Oreochromis niloticus: one gene and its partner. The protein of the gene in region 1 purifies or fractionates together with the protein of each later gene. This does not show direct contact. Links are inferred from orthologs where the notes say so. Each region holds a gene or a part of one and is shown in the gene's direction. Other genes may lie near its edges. The genes, in order: ppp2r2aa and cdca4.

Evidence for each region.
Region 2: the proteins of ppp2r2aa (region 1) and cdca4 purify together in Homo sapiens (affinity purification with mass spectrometry; 4 studies listed by BioGRID and IntAct, with this or other methods). This does not show direct contact. The link is inferred for Oreochromis niloticus from reciprocal best matches to the Homo sapiens genes PPP2R2A and CDCA4.

What each region holds. Positions count from the first base shown.
Region 1 is NC_031977.2:12,395,008-12,406,531, reverse strand, and holds the start of ppp2r2aa (serine/threonine-protein phosphatase 2A 55 kDa regulatory subunit B alpha isoform), read left to right. Parts: upstream 1-6,417; coding exon 6,418-6,508; intron 6,509-7,734; coding exon 7,735-7,832; intron 7,833-8,034; coding exon 8,035-8,200; intron 8,201-8,335; coding exon 8,336-8,448; intron 8,449-9,180; coding exon 9,181-9,358; intron 9,359-10,617; coding exon 10,618-10,782; intron 10,783-11,524. Other genes in the region: uncharacterized protein LOC102080115, read right to left, coding at 126-440, 518-820, 1,435-1,629, 3,559-3,601. UniProt on the Homo sapiens protein: Substrate-recognition subunit of protein phosphatase 2A (PP2A) that plays a key role in cell cycle by controlling mitosis entry and exit. Involved in chromosome clustering during late mitosis by mediating dephosphorylation of MKI67.
Region 2 is NC_031983.2:6,917,469-6,928,218, reverse strand, and holds the start of cdca4 (cell division cycle-associated protein 4), read left to right. Parts: upstream 1-6,474; 5' UTR 6,475-6,817; intron 6,818-9,789; 5' UTR 9,790-9,930; intron 9,931-10,265; 5' UTR 10,266-10,274; coding exon 10,275-10,750. Other genes in the region: ahsa1a (activator of 90 kDa heat shock protein ATPase homolog 1), read right to left, coding at 442-521. UniProt on the Homo sapiens protein: May participate in the regulation of cell proliferation through the E2F/RB pathway. May be involved in molecular regulation of hematopoietic stem cells and progenitor cell lineage commitment and differentiation.

The sequences.
Region 1 (11,524 bases):
GGGGGGGCATATCACCAGCTAAAGATAGTACATATACATGATTACCATCCTGTGATATCAACTGTATTCTGAACCAGGTCACCTACACACTTTAAAAAAAAAAATTAAAATAAATGATGACTCACCGACAGTCAGGAATAATTTGCTGAAGAACATGTCACTGTGTTGTTTGTTTGGGCTTTCTGCTCCACACCAGTACGTCCCGCTGTCGTTTGCAGTTACTTCTCTCACTGTTATGCTGATGTTTGTCTGCGTTTTGTTGTCATTCATGGAAAACCTCTCGTTCTTGCTTGTGTTGTTGGTATTAGCAAGAGTTTGACATGCAGATGGGTCGTCCCCCTTACAGATAAATTTTGTAAGTGACTGCTCACTCTGGGTGTAGTTACACAAGAATGTGAAGTTTTTTCCAACAGTTTCTGATTTTGTAAAGCCACTAATACCTATAGAAAACAGAGATTTGCCAACATGTTTAAATGTAGAACTTAAAACTCAGAAAATGAAGTTGTGGAGTACTCACTTTTAACTTCCAGCCTTATTTTTTTTAGTGCATAGCTATTAGATAATTTTACTCCGCACCAGTAGACACCCTTATCCTGTAGGGACACATTACTGATGGACACGTTAAAGCCCTGGCTGTTGTTTGTGAATGTCCATTTTTGATGAAATTGTGGTGGTAAAATATCCTCACAGATGGAATTATTATCTTTGCAGAAAAACATCTCCCTGGACTTGTTTTCTTCTCTTGGATAATCACATCTGATGGTGACTTTAGCAGTAATGTACCCAGTTTGATTAAATGGTTTTATGCAGTCTGATTTCACTGCGAATAAATATACAGATGAAACAAAATCAAACAGTGTAATATTTTTACAGTAAAGTGTGTATGTGTATTAGTACTCTGTTAAAATTTTCTTTTAAAATTGCATCTTAAATTTAAGAAATTACATTTGTAATTAGTAAAATTTGTAACATTTTGTGATTATGAAAAGTCTTAAAAGGGAAAACGGCAAATAACAGCAAACAGTAAATAAAGTAGAAAATTGGAACCAAACTTTATGACTCTACTGACTGATCAAGCTGTGGATCGTGGACAAGCTGTCAGGCCATCACACTGATAACACAGAGAGGCAGACAACCATTCACAGTGGCCAAAGGGAAATTGGCAGTTAACCTAACACGAATGTCTTTGGGACATTTGGGAGGAAGCTGGATTATGTGGCGAGAAGCCAAGCCCCCAGCTTGCAGATTTAAACCCAAGACCCCATTGCGTTGAGGTAACAGTGCAAACCACTGCACCACCATGTTGCATAGAAAATACTGCATATAACATTTTTTTTTACCTTGATTGAAGCCATAAAAAGTCACAACAAAAACTAACAAAATGAAGCCAAAATGAATTCATCAATTAATAAACAAACGAAAAACATGTCTTACCAAGTTTCTGTTCATCACAATGTTTTTCCGTTTTGTTTTTGTTCTCATTCATAGGTTTCCTGGTGATCACTGTGAGAATGCAGTTTGTATGATTTCCATAAGCCATTTGACAGTTTGCCTTTGTTTCAGTGTTGTTGAAGGGGACGTGAACCCAACCTCCTGTGCAGTTCTTTCTATCTGACATCAACTCACAACCTGAAGACAAATATTCAAATTATGTTGGTCATTTAACAAAACAAATAAGCAAATTAATTTATCAATTAGGTGCACAGTTCTTCATGCAACAGTCTTGAGATACTTTATTAGCAGAGCATGCTGTAAACATTGCTGTTTTTATTTTTACTATATAGGCATGATGCTGTGACCAGTTAGTATTTTTGTTATGATTCAAAGTGTCACTACTGCAAAAGCGAACTTCTGCTTCAATATATAATGTTACAATTAATTAATATACCATTAAATCATGTTTATTATTATTATTATTGTTGTTGTTGTTGTTGTTTTTCACAGTTGCTAACAAAATATGCAGTACATGTGAAAAAACTGCTTCCAGATTTCTAAGGTTTTGTTTTGTTTGTTTGTTTTTGCATGGATTGGTTTAGTCATGTTTTCATTTCTCCTTCCTCTTGTCTCACCAAGTCCACAGTTCATGGACTTAAACTACAGTGCTTACTTAAAAAGCTTTATTAGACCACCACCCATTGGTGGTGGTGGTTTTATAACACGGCTACCCTAAACTTACAGCATTGGTAATTACCAAAGTAATGTTTTATGCTTCTGGTTAATCTGTGAGCTCTGTAATCAAAATCATATTTTTAATGTTAAAATATAATTTTTCTTGTTATACGTGAGTTTATAAATTTTATGTTTTACTATAAAGCAACAACAAAAAAGTAAATCACATCCAAAATTAGCCAATAAAAACCAATTTCAGTAGTAATTGTCATGCTTGTGCCAGCTCAAATTTCAGTATAAAAACTTGAATTCAGTTTGTTAGCTAATAAATAACAACAAGTTTTTAACAGATTTCTAAAATGTTTGTGTTTTCTTGTTTTTAGTGGCAGGTGCCCTGCATACGGGCAGAAGTAAGTCCCACTGTTGTAGGTGTGTAAAATCAAGCACGTAGGCATGCAGACTACAAAGGTTTGTAAAAGAATGGGTCTCTGTATTCAAATAAGGCACTGTAATAGGATGCTACTGTAAATTTATGAAGTTTCATAGTTAATGAAACTTTTTCCTTCTTAGATATTCACAACAACTGTAAATGGTATGATTGCTCATACAGTTTTAAAGCAGAGTCACTGTTTGCTGAGCCACTAAGTCAATGAAAGTTTCCAACACTGTATTAACTCAATAAATGAGGAGTTCCAGACCTCTTCTAGCATTAACATCTGCACAAAAACTGTGCACTGAGAGCTTCATGGCATGGGTTTGGCAGAGCAGCTCCTGTGGGTGTAATATGAGGGTGGCCTAATATTTTTATCCATATAGCTTAGGTCTCATAAGCTGTCAGTCCTTATCTCTTCTGACTGGCATTATTAATCCCTGTGTCACTGTAAAAAATGAGTTTTTAGAGAGTGAGGGCCTTTTTAGACCTGTTTCACGGTCATTGATGTCATGGTGGAAAATACGACATGGCATTTGATTTAATCCTACCATAAACACATTAGTGAAACTTTAAAGTAATGTGAATAATCATGATCATCTGTCATAATGTAATGTTCTTTAAAACAGAAAGAAAAGTCATGGGTAACATTGTAGTAACATTCAATATTAGAAGAGTGAAAATGGCTCTTGGCTTTTAAAATCTGTGAGAATTCGGTAACAGCAAAGATGGGGCAGAGGTACAATTTTAAGAAAAAAAATAGACTTTTATTGATATACAGTGTCGTAAAAGCCTAAGCAGCAAACGGTGTGGAAATTAGCTGCGGCCAGAAGTCCTATATGATTGCATCTGTTGCATTTAGCTTAAATGCGACAATGTTAATATGTACAGTCCCTGTTGTGTAAATATATGAAGTACAAAATACATAGTGTAATACCTATTTTAATCATATTTAACATTATTTACAGTATAATGATTTGTGAATAATATCAATTAGGAGTTGGTCATAGTCTTTTTACCTGTCATCGTTGAGAAGATGAGTAGTAGCAGTGATGTCATCATGTTGGTTTAGTCGCTTCTTTAAGATCTTTAAGTGGAAATTATAAACCTGCAGTTAGTTTGCTTTTGTTAGCCTGTCCTGCCTATCTGTGGGTCTCTGGTGATTCTTGATTTTTTTTGTCCATCCCATCTTATGTTACTGAAAAATGAACTTGCCCCGCATTTCTGACCACAAATCCCCTCCCCATTTCTTTAAGGTTAGTTTCTTTATCATACTTACATCACCTTTTGCAGTAGAGAGGAAGCAAGCGGTTTATGTGAGTGTCAGAATGAAAATAACACTGAATAGGAAGTCAGAGTCTAACAGATATATTTATTTGATAATATAATAGAAAAATACTTATAAAGAGAAGAGTCTCTTTAATCTGCACAGTTCCTTAATTGCAAATTGAAACTGGACTGCTCAGCGCAAAAATGTTGAAATCCAAGAAAATGATCTGAATTCTTCTATGCTTTTTTGTACATTTGATGCATTTTGGATAGAGATGGTTATATATATTTAAAAAGTTTGCTTTGGCCCACTGACTGTTGAGTGGAGATTCTTCTCTGTTGGTCTGGGTGGTTGAGTGACAGTTGGTTTGGTTGGACAGTCATCTGACCGCTTTTTAACTGAAGAAATACGTTCCTAACATGGTTGCTGGGGAAGTATAAATCAGTATGCCTTATTATACTATACAGTGTATACAGAAAAATTTCCACACTGGCTTCTTTGATGTGCTTTGCTGCAGTGTCAGCTCCTGTGTTGTTTGAACATGAAAATTCTGGCAAAAGGGAGCGAGCAAACAAGCATATTAGCATTCAGTAGCATTTGTGTGATTGGTAGTTTGGTTTTATTTGATCTTATTTAATAGACATTTACCAGATATGACGGAGATTTAACAAATGTGACCAGGAAATCTGAAAAACATTTATATTCACATGCATCATGCACTATATCTGTGACACTTTAGATATCAGTAAGACTGAAGAATGATACTTTGGTACAATAGTATCAGACAATATTTGACACTGAGTGGGTATGTATTCTTACTGCATTTATTCCTTTTAGATTACTCAAATGTACTAAGGTGTCACTGTGGCTTAAGGTTCATGATTTCGACCATGAGCTAAAACCTAAATCTTTGCCTTAGATCTATATACATTCAAAATAGTGTTGAGAGAATCTCATACAGGTTGCAGCAGGCCTCTTTTTAGGAAGTATTCTTTGATGTGTCATTCAAAAAAAAGAAAAGAAAAAAAAAGAGCACAGGTATAACTGGTAATTTAGATGGCTGCCATCCATCTAGGTGAACTGGTTTGAATAAAAGGCAGTAAACACGCTGAATCACCTTCATTGCATAGCCAGTTGATAGAGCTGAGTCATTGTCAATGAAAATCTGTTTTAACTTTGTTTTTCTGGCTATGACAAGTCACTTTTTTCTGGTATAAACACTCTCAACTGTTCATGTGCCAAAGAGTTACCAGGAAACGAAGGGAGGCATTGATAACATCATACACCTGAGCTTTTCCTTCGCTAATAACTGTAAAACTAACTTCCTCACAGGGCCCTAGTAGGTGAGATTAATTTTACTTGGAAGAAACGTTTTTTCTAGTTACGCTTACATTGACGCATAAGGCTCTGAGGCTGAACTCTCAGAGACATCCTGCTGAACAAAGATGTCAGATGCATCTACTGCAATTATTACTCAGTTTATTTCCCATTCAGTTGTAGTTTAACTCAGTGGAATCAGTGGGTCATGCAATGACTACATTTAATAGGCAGTAAACAAGATAGTAACTCATAAAATCCACCCAATGTGAAATAACTTTTGTGGACATTAAAACAAATTAAAAACCCCTCTAAAATTTATTAAGAAATCTGAATTTCTGTTTTAAACTTGGAGCTTTCGGACTCCACTTTCTAAATTCAGCATGCGTCCGGGGTTAGTTCGATTTTCTTCACTGAAACAATGCACATGGGCGGGGTCTAGCAGTTATACGGGGTTTTATATTTTAAAAACCTGCTTATTACCCTTTTTATGAATTTAAAGCGCAGTAAATCAAGTGACCTCGCGGTCTCCGCAGACAGGAAGATGACCAACGTCTCTGAGGGGTAGGTTTAAAATTTCGCGGCGCACCCTCTCACCGCTCCCTGTTGACTGCTGAACGCCGCCCGCGTTTCGCCATTTTGAAAGTGCTGTAAAGAGGCAGAGGCGAGGGAACTCTCAAAGTAGAGTGCAAAGTCTACAAGCCAATAGTAGGCATTATTAATTACTTTGTGTAAAACAGTTCCGTGGTGCATAGCAGGGCCGAGGACTTTTGCTTACGTTCTTCAGAGTACCAAGCAGCACTCCCGGCTTCATTCCTGCACTGCTCCTCGCTAGAACCTCCCAGCCGACCCGGGTCAGCACTGTTCCAGTCCAGGGCCCGAGCCCGCTTAGATACCCCTCTACGAGTCGCTCACCATGGCAGGTAAAATCACAGGGGAAAAGACTACCACAGTGGCTGGGGTTATTAATTAACAGGTGCTGACCTGTTTGACAACGATGATGGGTTTCTCTGTTATGTCATGTTTAACCAGCGCAAGCTAGCTAGCGAGCTAGGATAATTCAAAGATGCCAGTGTAAGTCAGTGTTAGTGTTAAAGTGAGCGGTATTCTCCACAAACACACGTAAAGTAGTTATCTGTGCCTATGAGTTTATAGCAGCAGTTGCAACGCACAGTTACTGTGAATTTCCTTAAGGCCTCGTTGTCATATTGATGTTTTTAGCTAAGTTAGCTGCAGGCTAACGCGTGTAAAGTTGTCCCTCTTTAATGGTGGTGTGTCCAATCTTGGGGTCATGTTGTGTGCAGGGCCTGGTGGTGGGAGCAATGATGTGCAGTGGTGCTTCTCCCAAGTCAAAGGAGCAATAGATGACGACGTCGCTGAAGGTAAGTCCATGTGATAGTCACTGAACATTTGCTAGCCTGAGCTGCCAGGATCACCATCCTGTGCACGCTTGTTTTAGGCTTTTCTTCAAAGTGCTGCTGCCACACTTTATATTTGTGGTATTTCTAAATATGCAATGAAAAGTAATGCCTTCTTTTTTAGAGTAATAATGGGTATAAGGGATCAGTGGTGTGGTATTGTAGTCCATTTGGTTTCTCACAGACTGACAACAGTCTTCTATTTTTGGCATAATTGTGCTAAATGGCATTCACTATTTTCTCCGTTCACCCTGGGTATTAGAGGGGTATTACACAATGTTTACATGATTGGGAGAGAACTGCATGTTAGAATTGAAAAAGATTTTACCTCAGCCAGACAAGAATCTTTAATAGGCGTTTCATATTTGTTAACGAAGCAGCACTTACATTTGACTAATTACAGATCTGTTTGAGTGGCCAAGTTAAAAGAAAACCTTTATCAGCTAATTATTTCCGAACTAAAGGAAAACTCAAAGCACCAAAAGTGTGTTTACAGTACATGGTGGCCATATTTATGTATAAAGGGCTACCCATTTGTTTACAGTAAGCTTTGTCTGGGAACATGTATAAATGAGAGCCTCTCCTTGTGTCAATACATAGGAGTACATGGGCTCAAAACACAACACTCCAGTAACGCTTTTATTAGTTTCCTGTAAAAAAGGATTCGCCTTCAGTCTGTCTGCTATTGTTTTATGGGGTTGCATGGAGTCGGGTCGTATCAGGCGCACACTGTCGATGTTAACGACTGCACTATAGTAGTGCCAGTGTGTAAGTGGGGATTGATTGTTGTATTGTAGGACTTGGTGAGAATGGTTGTCTTTGAAAAGTGCTAAATCTGAAGCTGAGGATGGAAACTTTTTTTCTGTTCTTTTTTCCTTTGTGTCCTAAGATTGTTGAGTGTACGTTTAGTTTCACCAGATCACAGCTCCGTCGAGTGTGTGTGTATAAATATGTGTGCGTCATTGCTGTGTTGTGTTTTCACCATGGTTGACATGATTTTCACCCCTCACAGGTGGGCTGCTGAGGCATTTTGTAAACCACTTCCCATTGAAAGGCAGTGAATCATTTAGAGAGCAATTCGATTTACAATAATTAGATTGACAATAGCCTTCATCAGAAACTCTGACAAACAATGTATGGTTATTTATATTTGATGCTAGTCTCATTTTTGCAATTTTTATTATTGACAGCTGATATCATATCCACTGTTGAATTTAACCAATCTGGAGAGTTACTTGCAACTGGGGACAAGGGAGGTCGTGTTGTCATCTTTCAGCAGGAGCAAGAGGTATGTTTTAGTGACACATAGAAACAGTACATATTTTTAACATTTGATTCATAATACTCTGGAGCAGGTAGGTCATCAAACTCAGTTTATATAACACAAAGACGTACAGGTAAAAGTACAATGTTTCTTGTGATCTTGACCCGAGACATTGAATCTTGGTTTCATAACGCTTGAACTTTTGTTTGATCTGTTTTGTATTTAGAGTAAGAATAAGCTTCAGTGCCGCGGAGAGTACAATGTTTACAGCACCTTCCAGAGCCACGAGCCTGAGTTTGACTACCTGAAAAGTCTTGAGATTGAGGAGAAGATCAACAAGATTCGATGGTTGCCTCAGAAGAATGCAGCACATTTTCTTTTGTCAACAAATGGTTTGTAAATTACTTTCTTTTGAGTAAATTATTGTGCTGTAGTAAATGTGAACTTTTGTTACGCCATCTACTGCCTTATATGGGAGTAAATATAACTCAATGACTCTCATGGTCTTTGCTCTTTCTCATTGGCAGACAAAACCATAAAGCTGTGGAAAATTAGTGAGCGTGACAAAAGACCAGAGGGCTACAATTTGAAGGAAGAAGATGGGCGATACAGAGATCCCAACACTGTCACTACACTACGGGTGTGTAGAACTGGCTTTATTACAGTCCAGATCTTTTCTTTGGTTTGACATTGTTAGCCAAAACTGAGATGCTTTGCTTACTTTCCATTCATTTATGAGTAGATCAAGAAAATGAACAGCAAATTTAATATGTTGAGTCTGGTTAGTAATTTACATCTGAATTAGTTGGAATAAATGTTAATCGTTTCTTTCCCGTGTTTCCTTCCACTCATTACAAAACTGTTTGTTCTATTTTTGATTGAGACGTTGACTTATCTTATGAGCAAGTAAACAGATGGAACTAATAAAATTACCAATCTGTTCCTGCAATTACTGCAGTGCTGCAGTTGATGTAATGTCTGCTTTATTCACCTTTAATTTTGACAGACCCCCCCCCCCCCCCTTTTTTTTTCTTCTTGTGGTTGCTGAACAGTTTCCAAATATAGACTCTGTTCAACAGGTTTGCGTTTATACTGAGGCAATGCCTTTATTTCTTTGTTTAAAGGGCAAGTAACTGTCCCCATCTTAAAAATGGGTAAATCTATGTACATTTTGACCTACATCTTTGTGCCTCTTTACCAGGGTAAGAAAAATAATTTGGACACTTTTTAATCTTTTTTTTTTCTTTTTGTAGTGTGAAATTCCTTTTTTTTTTTAAAACATGCCTGTGTACATATATTTAAAATCAAGGTCAAAAAATCTACTGCATCTCCCATTAAAGAAATGTAAAAACAGCCCCACTTTTGCTTTCAGGTACCAGTATTCAGGCCCATGGACTTGATGGTGGAAGCCAGCCCTAGACGAGTGTTTGCCAACGCGCACACATACCACATCAACTCCATCTCGGTCAACAGCGATTGTGAGACCTACTTGTCTGCTGATGACCTGCGCGTTAACCTCTGGCATCTGGAGATCACTGATCGCAGCTTTAGTATCCTTTCATTCTTTAATTCCATAAAGTACTGCAATAATATAAAATTATTCTGTCAGTGTTTTGTCTTATTTATTCCCAGTTTATCCTTTTTCAAAGGAGCGTAAGCCAGGGAGAGTACTTTAAAAAAAAAAAAAAATGTATGTGAATGTTATGTGAAATAATGAATGATATATTGTGGTTAGTTTTAAGCCTTTCTTTGAAGAGATGCCTGACTTATTAATCCTGTTCACCTGCTCACCCCGTATCAGTCAAATTAGACAAAGACTATGTATTACTTAGCAACAAATAAAACATGATTCATGTATTTTTGTAGGCCATATAAACAATTCTTTGCCTGATATTTAAAAATGTACACACTGTGTCTACAGGCAGACTGGACAAGGGTAAAAAATTATCTTCACTGGTGTCTATTTAATCTGTAGCACAGTGTCATTATTTATACTACCACCAGATGTCCCCAAAGCGTGGGATGTTTAACTGGGTGCCTTGAACGTAGTCTAAAATAATCACCTCCTACATCTTATGTTAATAATTTCACCCCATGAGTTCTTACTGCGTTGTTTTATGTAGGCTGTATAAACAAAGATGAACCAGAGTTAGATACAAAGTGTAATCACGTTTTTCTTGAATTGACATTTGTTGCTCGTTCTGGACGCTCATATCTTCTCTTCATGCCGGAAGATCGATGCAGTGCAACTCTTGCCTTTTATTAAGGATTGCCTCAACTGATGTAAAACACTTGAACTGGGGAAAGAATGAATGCAAACTAAAATATGTTAAATGGTTTTATCACTGTAGGATCATGAGGTCAGAGGTCATCTGTGAGATTAATGTAGCTGTTAAAAGTTGAAAACACATGAGCATGAAATGGAAAGTATTCACAAGTGAATACATGATTTGGGGCACTTTTGTCCTAGTCACCAGATATCTGTGACAAAACTTTTTCCATGTGCCAGTCACTGTTTAAAATGAAATGCAGATAGTTTTAAAAAAGATAAATCATAGTGAATTTGATAATGGTCTGTGATAGTGGCAATAGCAGTTTTTCTTTTAATCTGCGCACAGACTGTTTACCTGCAAGCAGTAAAGCCTGCTTTAATGGGGTCTTCAAACTGATAACACGACACTATGAATAATAATGATGATAATAATAATAATAATACAAATTCATTTTATTTCTGAAAGATTTTTCTTCAAGTTGCTGAAATGTCTGTTCAGGGTTTTGTTTGTTTTTTACCTTAACCTCAACTCTTCAGATATTGTTGACATTAAGCCGGCCAATATGGAAGATTTAACAGAGGTGATCACAGCGGCCGAGTTCCACCCCAACCAATGCAACACTTTTGTCTACAGCAGCAGCAAGGGCACGATCCGCCTGTGTGACATGAGGGCAGCAGCGCTATGTGACAGCCACGCCAAACGTAAGTCAGTCCCTTTTTGTGTTTCTGTAACTGTTTGACTGTGTGTCTCCTCAACGATCGATGGGGGGCTCTCATTGTGCCTATCAGTGTAACACTCGATTAATCAGCTGCAATTATAAAGTTACTCTTGCCATGGACGGTGGCTGACTAGACTAGTGCAATGTGCTTGAACAAAGCTGACGGTTTGTTGAGAAGAAGACTTGACAAGTGAAAAGTTGCACAGTTGTGAGAGCCCTTTCTTAAGGGGAACCAACAGGAAACAAAGCTGACTTATATGTTGAAATTTAATGCGTTCAGTGTTTAAGTAAAAGAAAAACCACAGGCATAAGGAGCTGTTGGTTTGGATTTTCATAACTTTTTAAAGTGGGGAGTGAGTACACACAGCAGGGTAGGTCTTTGCACTGACTACATTATCCTCCAGATACACTGCCTGAAGGCTTAAAAATGAACACGTACATAAAATTTGTGGTTTTGTCATTCATCAAGTTGTTGTTTTTTTTTTTAAATGTTGTTTTCTGAAAATATTTTCTTCAATTTTGTAACAAAAAAGAAATTGAACAACAAATTACTTCTCCAATTCCATACAATTCACATGGTAACATAAAATTCACAAATTCACCTAAGAAATAGAAGATCAATTTTTTTTCTTTTTATATCTACCAGTGTCACCTCACAGCACAAACTGTGGGAAGTTTGCATGTTCTTTTTGCGCCTGTGTGACATTGTTTTCGGTTTTGGATAA
Region 2 (10,750 bases), on another chromosome or scaffold:
CTATAAAAAAGTGCAGTCACGTTGTAACTGGGGCTACCACACGTGTTCTGGTGTAACCGATGAAACGCTGGTAACCGTAAACTTACCAATTGTGAGAGACTATAAAGCTTGTTACTACACCAGAATACTGCAGTAGATACAATTGGTCATGCTGCATTTTAACGCTACTGATGTTAAAAGCCGTTACACATGCACTTGAAGCTTCAGCGGCTAGCTACAGGCGAAGCTAACTTAAGAACGCCTGCAATGTTAGCTCGCCTAATTATTTCAAACTTTGATATACCTCAATACTTGCAGCCGGCTACAGACAAAATAATGACCTAAACTTACTTGATCCAAACCTAAACATATAAACTACAGTTTGATACTAACAGGAGCTCGGTGTGTCGTGTTAGCATTAGGCTAACAGCTAAAAACCAATGTCCTTTCATTAGCTCTTACCAATGCCAATTGTTGACATTAGTCGCATCAGCTCTCTCCTCTACAATCCAACGAGGGTCTCCTTCTCCCCACTTCGCCATTTTGTTGACTAAATAATAAGAAACGTTTAACCGTGTAAGGTTAAAAGCAGAGAGCAGGTGTCTGCCGGTGACTATCCACCGATGCGCACGCTGTTTCTAGAAGCCTCTAGCTGCTGCGGGCTCTCAAGCGGTGCTCCTGCGTTTATTCGCCGAGCACAGAAAATGCTGGAAACGGAACGTTGTGGAAGGAGGTAAAAAAAATGTCCCCCCCTTGCCGGAAGTCTGAAGAATAGTTCCGCGTTAGGAATGCAGACTTCTGGAACTACAAAAATAAAATAAGTAAGTAAGTAAATGATTAAGTACATAGACAGATAGATAGACTTTGAAAAGCCTTGTTTTTATTTTCCATTTCAACTGTATTTTTTTTTTAAGAAAGCGCTTCATTCTGCCAGGCTCACATGAACTACTCATACAAATTACTTTTACAAGTATTTTTTTTTAACCAACCACACAAAATTTGTAAATGTTCCAGTTTTTTTGATTTTGTTTTTGTTTTTAAGGATGTACTTTTTTTTGTCTGTTCTTGTCTGTTTGCAAGGGGAAGACAAATGAAGGCCTCACCCTCAGGTTTATGAAAATGGAGATTTTTCACAGCTATGGGGCAATTTTTGGACAAAATAATTGATTAATTATGAAAACAACTCTTAGTGAAACTTCTGATGGCATGGCCTAAACATTTTACATATCTTGAAGTAAACACCTGTGATATTAGACAGTGATTATAAAAATGAGTGGAAGACCGTGAGGGATTAAGTCCATGTCAGCAGATTCTCGCTTTGAGTTTGAGTGAGTATAGCATGAGCTATTATTTATGTATGTTCCCTTTGCTGTGAGTAAAAAAGAAATGGCTGGTGTCCACTCACTGGCCATTTCAATAGGTATAGCTGTTCAGCTGCTCATTAACATGGCTATCTAATCACATAGCAACTCAATGTATTTGGGCATGTAGACACAGACTGAATATTTCATAAACTGTTGATCTACTCCATAAGTCTCTCTCTATATATTTAGAGCAACAATAACTGAAATACCCAGTAATTACAACCAGGGTATGCAGAAGAACATCTCTGAGAGTACGACACATGGAACCTTGAAGAAGATGGTCTGTAGCAGCAAGAACAGCAAACTCGTGCTACAGTTCACACAGGCGCATCAACAATGCACAATTGAAGAGTGGAAAAATCCTGCCTGGTCCGATGAGTCTCGATTTCTGCTGCAACATTCAGAAACAACATGAATGCATGGCTCCATCCTGCCTTGGATCAGTGGTTCTGGAGGTCTAATGGCATGGTGCATAACTTCTTGGCACACTCTGGGCCCCTTAATATCAGCTGAGCATAATGTAAAAGCCGCAGCCTACCTGAGTATTGTTGACCATGTTCCTCACTCTATGACCGCTTCTGGCAGCAGCATCCACCAGGATCATGAACCATGTTGCAAAACTCATGTCAAACATCTTGATGCATTCTCAATCATCCAGGAAAGTAAATCTCCAAAAGTTGAATCTGTTCATCTGGACGTAGCGTTTTGTGGGAGAAACGTTTCGTCACTCATCCAAGTGACTTCTTCAGTCTCAGCTGACTGCAGGTTTCCCCAAACCTTATAAACAGTACATTTGCATAATGACTGAAACCAGCCCACTGAAGGAACAATGGGCTGTGAGGTCAGTTTCTTAATCATAATTATGCAAATTCCATGACCATTGATCAACAATCACTGACCAAAACCCACTGATCAAAGAACACTGATCAATGGTAAATGGACTGGTTCTTATATAGCGCTTTTCTACTCTTCTGAGCACTCAAAGCGCTTTACACAACTTGTGCATTCACCCATTCACACCCATTCGCACAAGCACATTTTTCTAGGTGCTTTCTAAGTAACATTCACACACACATTCATACTCCGATGGATGCATCGGAGAGCAATTTGGGGTTAGTATCTTGCCCAAGGATATTTGGCATGCAGACTAGGGGAAGCCAGGAATCGAACCACCAACCTTCCGATCAGTAGATGACCTGCTCTACCACCTGAGCTACAGCCACCCCACCCCAATGGCCATGAGTACCATTCACAGAGAGTTGGGGAATGGCTGCAATCACAGCATTGTAAGATGGCGAAAGATGTACCCTTAGGCCCCCTCCTCGGTTTGAGCGCGGAGTCAAGGAGGCCATTTACGTGAAAAGGGAAAGACCATCTCTGAATCGAGGAGGGGGCCTAAGGGTACATCTGTCACCATCTTACAATGCTGTGATTGCAGCCATTCCCCAACTCTCTGTGAATGGTACTCATGGCCATTGATCAGTGTTCTTTGATCAGTGGGTTTTGGTCAGTGATTGTTGATCAATGGTCATGGAATTTGCATAATTATGATTAAGAAACTGACCTCACAGCCCATTGTTCCCTCAGTGGGCTGGTTTCAGTCATTATGCAAATGTACTGTTTATAAGGTTTGGGGAAACCTGCAGTCAGCTGAGACTGAAGAAGTCACTTGGATGAGTGACGAAACGTTTCTCCCACAAAACGCTACGTCCAGATGAACAGATTCAACTTTTGGAGACTCATGTCAAACAGTTTTTTTTGGGGGGGGTTTTGTACATGAAAGTGAGTTCACTGTACTCAAACGGCTTCCACAGTGACCAAATCCAATAGGGCACCTTTGAGAGGTGGTTGTGGTGACACGCAGCCGATAAATGAACAGCAACTATGTGATACTGTCCCGTCAATATGCACCAAAATCTCAGAGGAAATTTTCCAGCACCATTTTGAATTAGTGCCACGAAGAATTAAAACAGTTTTTATAGCAAAAGGGGGCTAACCTGGGGCTAGCAAGGTGTACCTTGCTAAAGTTGGCGTTTGGTACGTAACTTATATCCTCTAATAAGTCAAATTAACTCTTATTATCCGTCTTATCCAAAAAGTAGCCCCACCTTCTGTTTTTTGTGTCAAGTCTAATAATTGTTCCAATGAGGTTACAGATCAGTAGCTAGATGTTGGAGCCTCGAGGATTTAAAGTCTGTGTAGGTTCTGGTAACAGGCACATAGATAAGCTAATAACCATTGCTGCAAATGAAAACATCCAGAGGCAGAGGTAATAAGCATCATTAGCGATGATAATTACTGGTAATTACACCAATCAGATTTAAAGAGTCTTATAAAAAACACTAATGAAAAGCCTCCAAAGGTGGCTGCTACTGATTTGGGAAGATATAAACAAAGTGCAGTTTAACTTCTTATTAAACCTGCAGTTTAGAAGCTTAAAAAACAACCATCAATGAGCAAAATACACAATTCTAAAAGACTGTTCATGCAGTTTACTTATCAAAGTGATCTCTATTGAGATGGAAAATCACATGGGATCATATTTGAACTTGACTTTATTGTCTTTTTCTGGCCTTAGTATGGATTTGTAATCAGATCTCTGATTTCTTTAGTACACAGGGAAAGTATAAAACTCAGTGTTCTTTGAATCTGTCTGTCATTGCATTAAAATTTCCAGTGAATGAGAATATTTCCACAGGTTATCAATACAATATATTACCAAAGACATTTCTTTTAAGTGTCTGTCCACATAAACAAGACAGAAAAAGGTGAAAATAAGAAAAAATGACACACCGAGTTAAGTTAGACCAAACTATAAAGGGTTAAAAGCGGTTCTATCAGCTACTGAAACCAGCTGACTTTTTGTTACCTCGCCAGAATGATTTCTTCAGCATTTTAAGAAAATACGAGCATAAGCAAAAGCAAGTCCTTTTCACCACCAAAAGGAAAAAGCTTAGACGCATTTTGTTTGTTTGACTTGGTGAAAACAGAGCATACAGTGACTCAACAAGTATATACCTTTTTTGCCATGTATTAAGTGTAAAACTATGGTTTCTGTTATATTATCTAAAAACAGTTAACACCATTTGAACTTTATTCAAAGGCTTTATTCAAATTTGACTCATAATGGACCAGTGACATTCAAAATAAAGCAGAGTAACTGTTCGGGGTTGAGCAAAATGGTTTTATTATTGCGGTCTCAACACACATAACATGTATAAACCATGCTTACAGCTCACTGGGTAAGATCCACGCACTATTACCCAAAATGTGGTGTGTTAGTTCTGATCACAACTACCAGAGGCTCAGTCTGCATGTGTGGCAGTGTTTTTAAACCCAGTCGTGTTACTGACCTGCTGCCAACAAACCCAATTAGTGTAAAGAGATGTTCCACCAGGTGCCTTTAATGGCTGTTTCACAGCTTTTTTCGGTGCCATCAAATTAAAAAAGAACAATTATTTCATGTAAAAAAAAATAAAATAAATACGGTACTGTGCAACAGTATTGAGCCACCCCTCATTTCACTTCCAAGAAGCCAGACATTCTTGTTATTTTTATAAACTGGTCTTGAGCAATAGTTCTTCTGACTTTCTGAAGCAAATTTTTCTTTCATTTTCAGTCCGTTCCTTGTATCTGACTATTTTCAGAAGAATGTTTTATTGCCTTTTAAGGTGCTTAACACCGGACTTATTAATTGACAAGAAAATTGACAATTCAGACATATAAAGCCATCTAACTCATGGGCTCAACCACTGTTTTCTATACACTTAACCAATTTTACATTGTAGCTTTAAGTGTAAAATGCCATAGTATCGTACAGTATCACAGGCATAAAAAAAAGCATTTTTAGCTAAAAAGATGGCATATCAAAGAAGTGACAAGTGGAGGATGAAAACAAAAAAGAAGTGGCAGATTGAAAGAAATAGGAACAAAAATCAGCAAAGACATGACAAAGCACCTGAGAAACATATCTGGCCCTTTAGTTGATCCATCTACGGTTTGCCAAAGCCTCATCAGAAACGGTCTCAATGGAAGGGTGACAATCATGAAGCCATTCTTAAGGAAGGAAACAGGAAGAAAGGGCTAACGTATGACAATTTACGGAATAACTGAAATGAAAATGAGTGGCAAAGCACTGTGGAACACTATCAGTCCTGGATTGGCCTCCCCAGAGCCTGGACCTCAACATTGCTGAAGCAGTGTGGGATCATCTTTACAGAAAACACAACAAAAAAACAGCCAACAGCCAAAGAAGAGCTGTGAATATCCTTTAAGAAGCCTGGAGAACTATTCCTGATTCTTCCTATTCCTAATTAATGAAATCACAAGAAAGCTTGCCTAAGAGAGTTTAGGCTGTGCTGAAGAATAAAGGTGGTCATACCAAATACTGACTTCTAAGTTGATTAGGATTGTGCACATTCAGTTTTTGTTGTACGAGCTATATTTGTATTTGCACAATTTTAAATAAATCACGTCACCTATATCCCATTTCTCTAAGAAAATATAAAGAAATTAGGAGTGGTTAAAGACTATTTTTTAATATTATATAAATAGAATAATAGGTTTCTTGTTACAATTTTCTATTAAGCATTTCCTATTTTTATTATTTATTAATAAACTGGGTTGCGTTTTGATATTTGTGTCAGTGTAGAACTGTAGTATTACTGGAGGGTGAATCCACAGTGTAAGTGCTCAAAATTCATACAGTGAGTAAAAAGGTTATTGGATTATTAATAAAGTACAAACATAGAAAAATGATGTTTTGCTAAACAACATTGGATTCTCTTGTAGGGACTTCGTACAAATTTATTTTTGTTTGAATGAGTATTATGTCATTTTACCTCTTAAAGTAATCAGTCGTGCACAATAAAAGCCAAAAGGTTTGTCGCCAGCCAGCCTTTTATATGTTTCAGTAAACTGGTAGTTGCAACAGTCAGATAAAGACAGTGAAATCAGAAGTAAAATCATTCGCTATAAACAAAAGGCATAACACCGAAATGTCACGATAACCTCATACATACTAGGGACTAGGCACGTAGCGGAGTAAATTCGTGTTTCTTAGTCACTTTCCATTCAGTGGGTATAATTCCCCTCGCCACAGATTGTTTTTCTTGTTAAAAAGGCCAGCGGTAAACGCAGCGTCAATACACAAAGAGTAACCAGAACAACATCAGATCTTCTACATCTTGTTCTTGAAGCCAGCAGCGGGCTTTGGCTTGTTTGTTAAAGCATTAGTAGGAGAGAAAAGCAGGGAGAAATCATTAGAGAGGAATCCCAGGCATATGGCTGGCTTTTGTCGGCTCCCCTCCCCCTCCCTTCCTTCCCCTCCTGTCGTCCGCTCCGCAGCAGCAGCAGGACAGAGGTAGTTCAGTTTTTGAAGCCGTGGCATGAATGATCTCATCTGAACCTGATCTCCGCTTTCTCTGCTGTCGATCCTATGACCGAGACGGGAATTAAATTAACACAAACACGAGGTGAGTACGGCTACTCAAGCACCCGACGATAGTGTTTTTAACTAGCCACCCGGGTGACCGTGTGTTGTTTTTGGGGAACTTAACAGCTCCGCCGTGGCGAAAACTCTTGTTTTTGGCTAGAAAGGAGGAAGGACCGCGGACTGTGGGTGGGTGGGCGCTTTTAGCTAATTAGCTTTACGTTCGCTAGCATTCGTTTTATGTAAGAGGAAGTTTCCAAACGAATGCCGAGGGTTTTGTGCCTCCGTGGAGGCATCTTTTTTCACGGAACATTTTATGCTAGCTAGCGGCAACCCAGAAGTGTAAATTCCGTCTGTAGCATAGCCGGCCGGCTAACTGTTAGCTACTAGCGCAAAATGGCCTCATTGTCGCTCGGTAGCTCTGATGCTGAAAAGACAAAAGCATGCGGCAGTCACGGCCAGAAGCTCTCCGTCGCTTTTTACAGCTATTCTAGCGGTTTTAATCTGGCGACTGGCAGTGGTAGCGCTATGTATTTAAGAGGGAAGTGGGAGAAATGTAAGCAGTGCTTTTTAAAAATGTGTTTATTCATTTAGTACGGCGGGCTGTGAAAGTGGTGGGGGATGGGCCATGCTAAGAACCATTGACGTAAAACGGGGCTGCATTTTGTTTGGCTTCTGCTTCCTAGCATAGTAGAAAACACTCAGTTTAGTAACTGTATTTAAACTGTTTTAAATCCAGTTTAGTGACACTGTCTGTCTGACGTAAATACAACTGTAATGTCAGCATCAGAATAAAGTACTGATTTACACGAGGTGATCCTCCTCCCCCTCCCCGCACTTATTTCCTGATATGTTAGAAGTTTTTGAACACCACATATGTCAGCATTTTTGTGAAATCATGTTAAAAAGATGTGCGACTAAGTTTAATGGTCTGAAATACATCAATACTAATGTGCAGGTGTAAATGAATACTATTTAACTGAGTATGATCTCGACATCAGTCATTAAAATTAAGCGTCTGTAGCAGATCACTTTGGGTTTTAAAATCAATACATTCTTATTGGTAAAGTAAGTAAATCTTTAAAAAAAATGTTCACTTGCAGATTGAGATGTTATTATCAGGAGTTTGGTTGTTATTTAGTGCTCATATTAGGTTATCTGTCAATATTATCTTGATTGAAAGTGTTTTAAGTGGTTAAAATGTAAGAACATTTAGGGAATTGATTGTATGAGATTGTAGTTGTTTACATGTCCCACAGTGGAAAAACACAACACAACGCACTGTGTATGTTGCCTGCTACAGATGACTGATCAGACTGGTTAGGACATAACTCGCTTTCAGTCTTATTTTATATATGACCTACATATGAATTGCTGTTTTTCTTATTGTTTTCAGAAATCTAATTCTAAATTCAGAGTAGAATCCTTAAGCTTTAAAAATGCTAAACTATAGGGTGTTCGAAAACAATTATCAGTATAAATGTTAAAAAAAAAAAAAAGTTGTCATGTCCAAAACTGTTTTCTCTTCTGTGTGCAGTGATCCGTCTCTCAGGTTGTAGTTCTTCCTGTTTCTATTTAATGTCTTTTTTTTCTTTTTTTTCATTTTTCTACTTTTTTTTCTTTAAGGAGGTAGTTCTCTCTAGTGTCTCTTATTTAACAGGGACCAGTATTATTGCACCACATAAGAAGACAACATATGTCCATAATCGTTTTCTCACCCTTTTCATTTTAGATCTCCGGGTATCTTCATAAATTACCTTTTCCCCCCTTTATTCTGTCCACTGTCAGGAAATGTTATTCTATGATTACGAGGACTCAAAGACCTCCAGGCTCCCAAGCCTTTAATTGTACTTACGAGCCACTTCTCTTTTTTTTTTTCCTTTTGGCATGGATTGTAACTTTTGAAAAATGTGGGGATCTGATTGATCAACTATTTAGATGTATACTTTTCTATTAAATGTGAACTCACAAGGTGTTGACTTGTTTTACTAGTTTTTGTCAGTATGCTATTGCACAACACCCGTGACTACACACTGTGTCAATGTTAAAATATGTAATTTGCACAGATTATGGGCCTTAGTTTGGCCTGGCATCCTAAAATAAAAATGAAAATTTGGTGTGGAGATGATTTATGACAGTAACAGCAGTGTCTTGGGCATGGTAGTTTCTTTTTGATTCCTAGTTCCTGAAAAACAGGAAATTTCTGTAAAGTGATCCAACCCTCTCTGTGATTTGTGCCCTGTGAATCCTAACGCAAAACATGAATCAGTGTTGTTTTTCATTGTACTGATTTTAAAAAATTTTGTGTTTTCTTTTTTCCCCTTTTTAAAATGTCTATCACAAATAGAAATTTGAAGCAACTGGAATCATTGACCCAAATGCCCTGCCCACAGGTTTAACACAGAGGAGACAGCCGGACACTGTGCATACTGTTTTTCTGTCTGATGGAAAATTAAATGCCACAGGCTGCTGTTTGGAGCTCAGTCTCCTATTCACTTGCATCCCATTTATTTTTGGGAGTCAGAGGGGCCTTTAACATTAGCGGGAGTATTGTTTTGTTTCTGTAAGACATGTGTGTGTTGAAGTGGTATTTAATGAGGAAGTTGACTGTGCTTTTCTTCCCCTCCTCAGTGAAGAGAAAGTGAAAATCTTGTTCTGCTAGTTTTTGAAGCGTCGCGTGCGTAGACCTGGAAACCTGATATCCCTTGTAAATATTAGTGGCTCATGGTGGTACATTGTACTGTGAATTGTAAATGCTGTTACTTTCCATATCCTTGTCACTTTTACCCCCTTGAAAGCACCCTTATTGATTAGGATATCTTTTTGATTTTCTTGATCACAGGTGGCAGTGGGGGAAAGAAAATAAATGCACTAATTAACTTGAGTGCTGTTTTTGTTTTCTGACAGAGGTCTCTGTAGTCTGTGCTTACTTTGATGCAGTGTCCGCATTTAGTCGGTAACCATGCTATTTTCGGTGGCTCAGTGGTCTGTTAAAAGTGTGGTTGTTCCGCCCAGCAGGAGTCTTGCCTCAGACTGGCCTAAAATGGGCAGAAATGGTGCTGAACAAAAGCTGCTTGTCGCTCGTACAAAAGTACTTGAAGCGTTGCAGCCGGGACCAAGCTGCATTGCTATTGCCTGTGCCTCTCAACAGGAAAGGTATAGCAAACTTTAAGAAAAAAACTACAACAATTATTTGTTTACTGTAGAGTAAGCCTGTAGTTTATTTGTAAAGTCACAGCTGCAGTTCAGCAGATTGTAGCCCTAGCTCCCTCATGTCCACACAAATGTTACACCACATAGCCTCATAACATCACACATTTACATAATTAATTACATGGCACTTAATCTTTGTAACTATTTTAGCTAGTGAAAATGACAGCAGTACAAATTTTGTGTTTGTCTGTGTGGCACATTTCTTAATATTTAAGCAAGTGGTGCCATTGTTTCTCACTGATTTTTTTTCTTTTTTTGTCTCCTTGCCATCACAAAAGAGAGACAACATGTTCCCGAAGGGCACCAAGCGCAAGTTCTCAGACTCTGGGGAGGAGGCCGTCTCCAGTGGCGACCAGGGCCCCGCATCTCCTTCGGTGGCAGCTCGGACGCTGTCTTCCTCTTACAGTCTGCAGCGGCAGTCGCTGCTTGACATGTCGCTCATCAAGCTGCAACTTTGTCACATGCTGGTAGAGCCGAACCTGTGCCGTTCAGTTCTAATTGCCAACACGGTGCGGCAGATCCAGGAGGAAATGACCCAGGATGGCACCTGGCAGATAATGACGCAGGCCCTCGCAGCCGCCCAGTGTCCCACCGACCGCCTGGTGGCCACTGAAGTGCTGTGCCGACAGACTGATGCAGCAGCCCAGGCAGGGCAGAGCCCAAAGCCTTACTCAGTGGTCGGTGTGGAGGAAGGCTACCACTCTGAAGAAGTGGTCATGGAGGGAGATGTGGAGACGGATGTCACCATGTCTACTTTGTCACC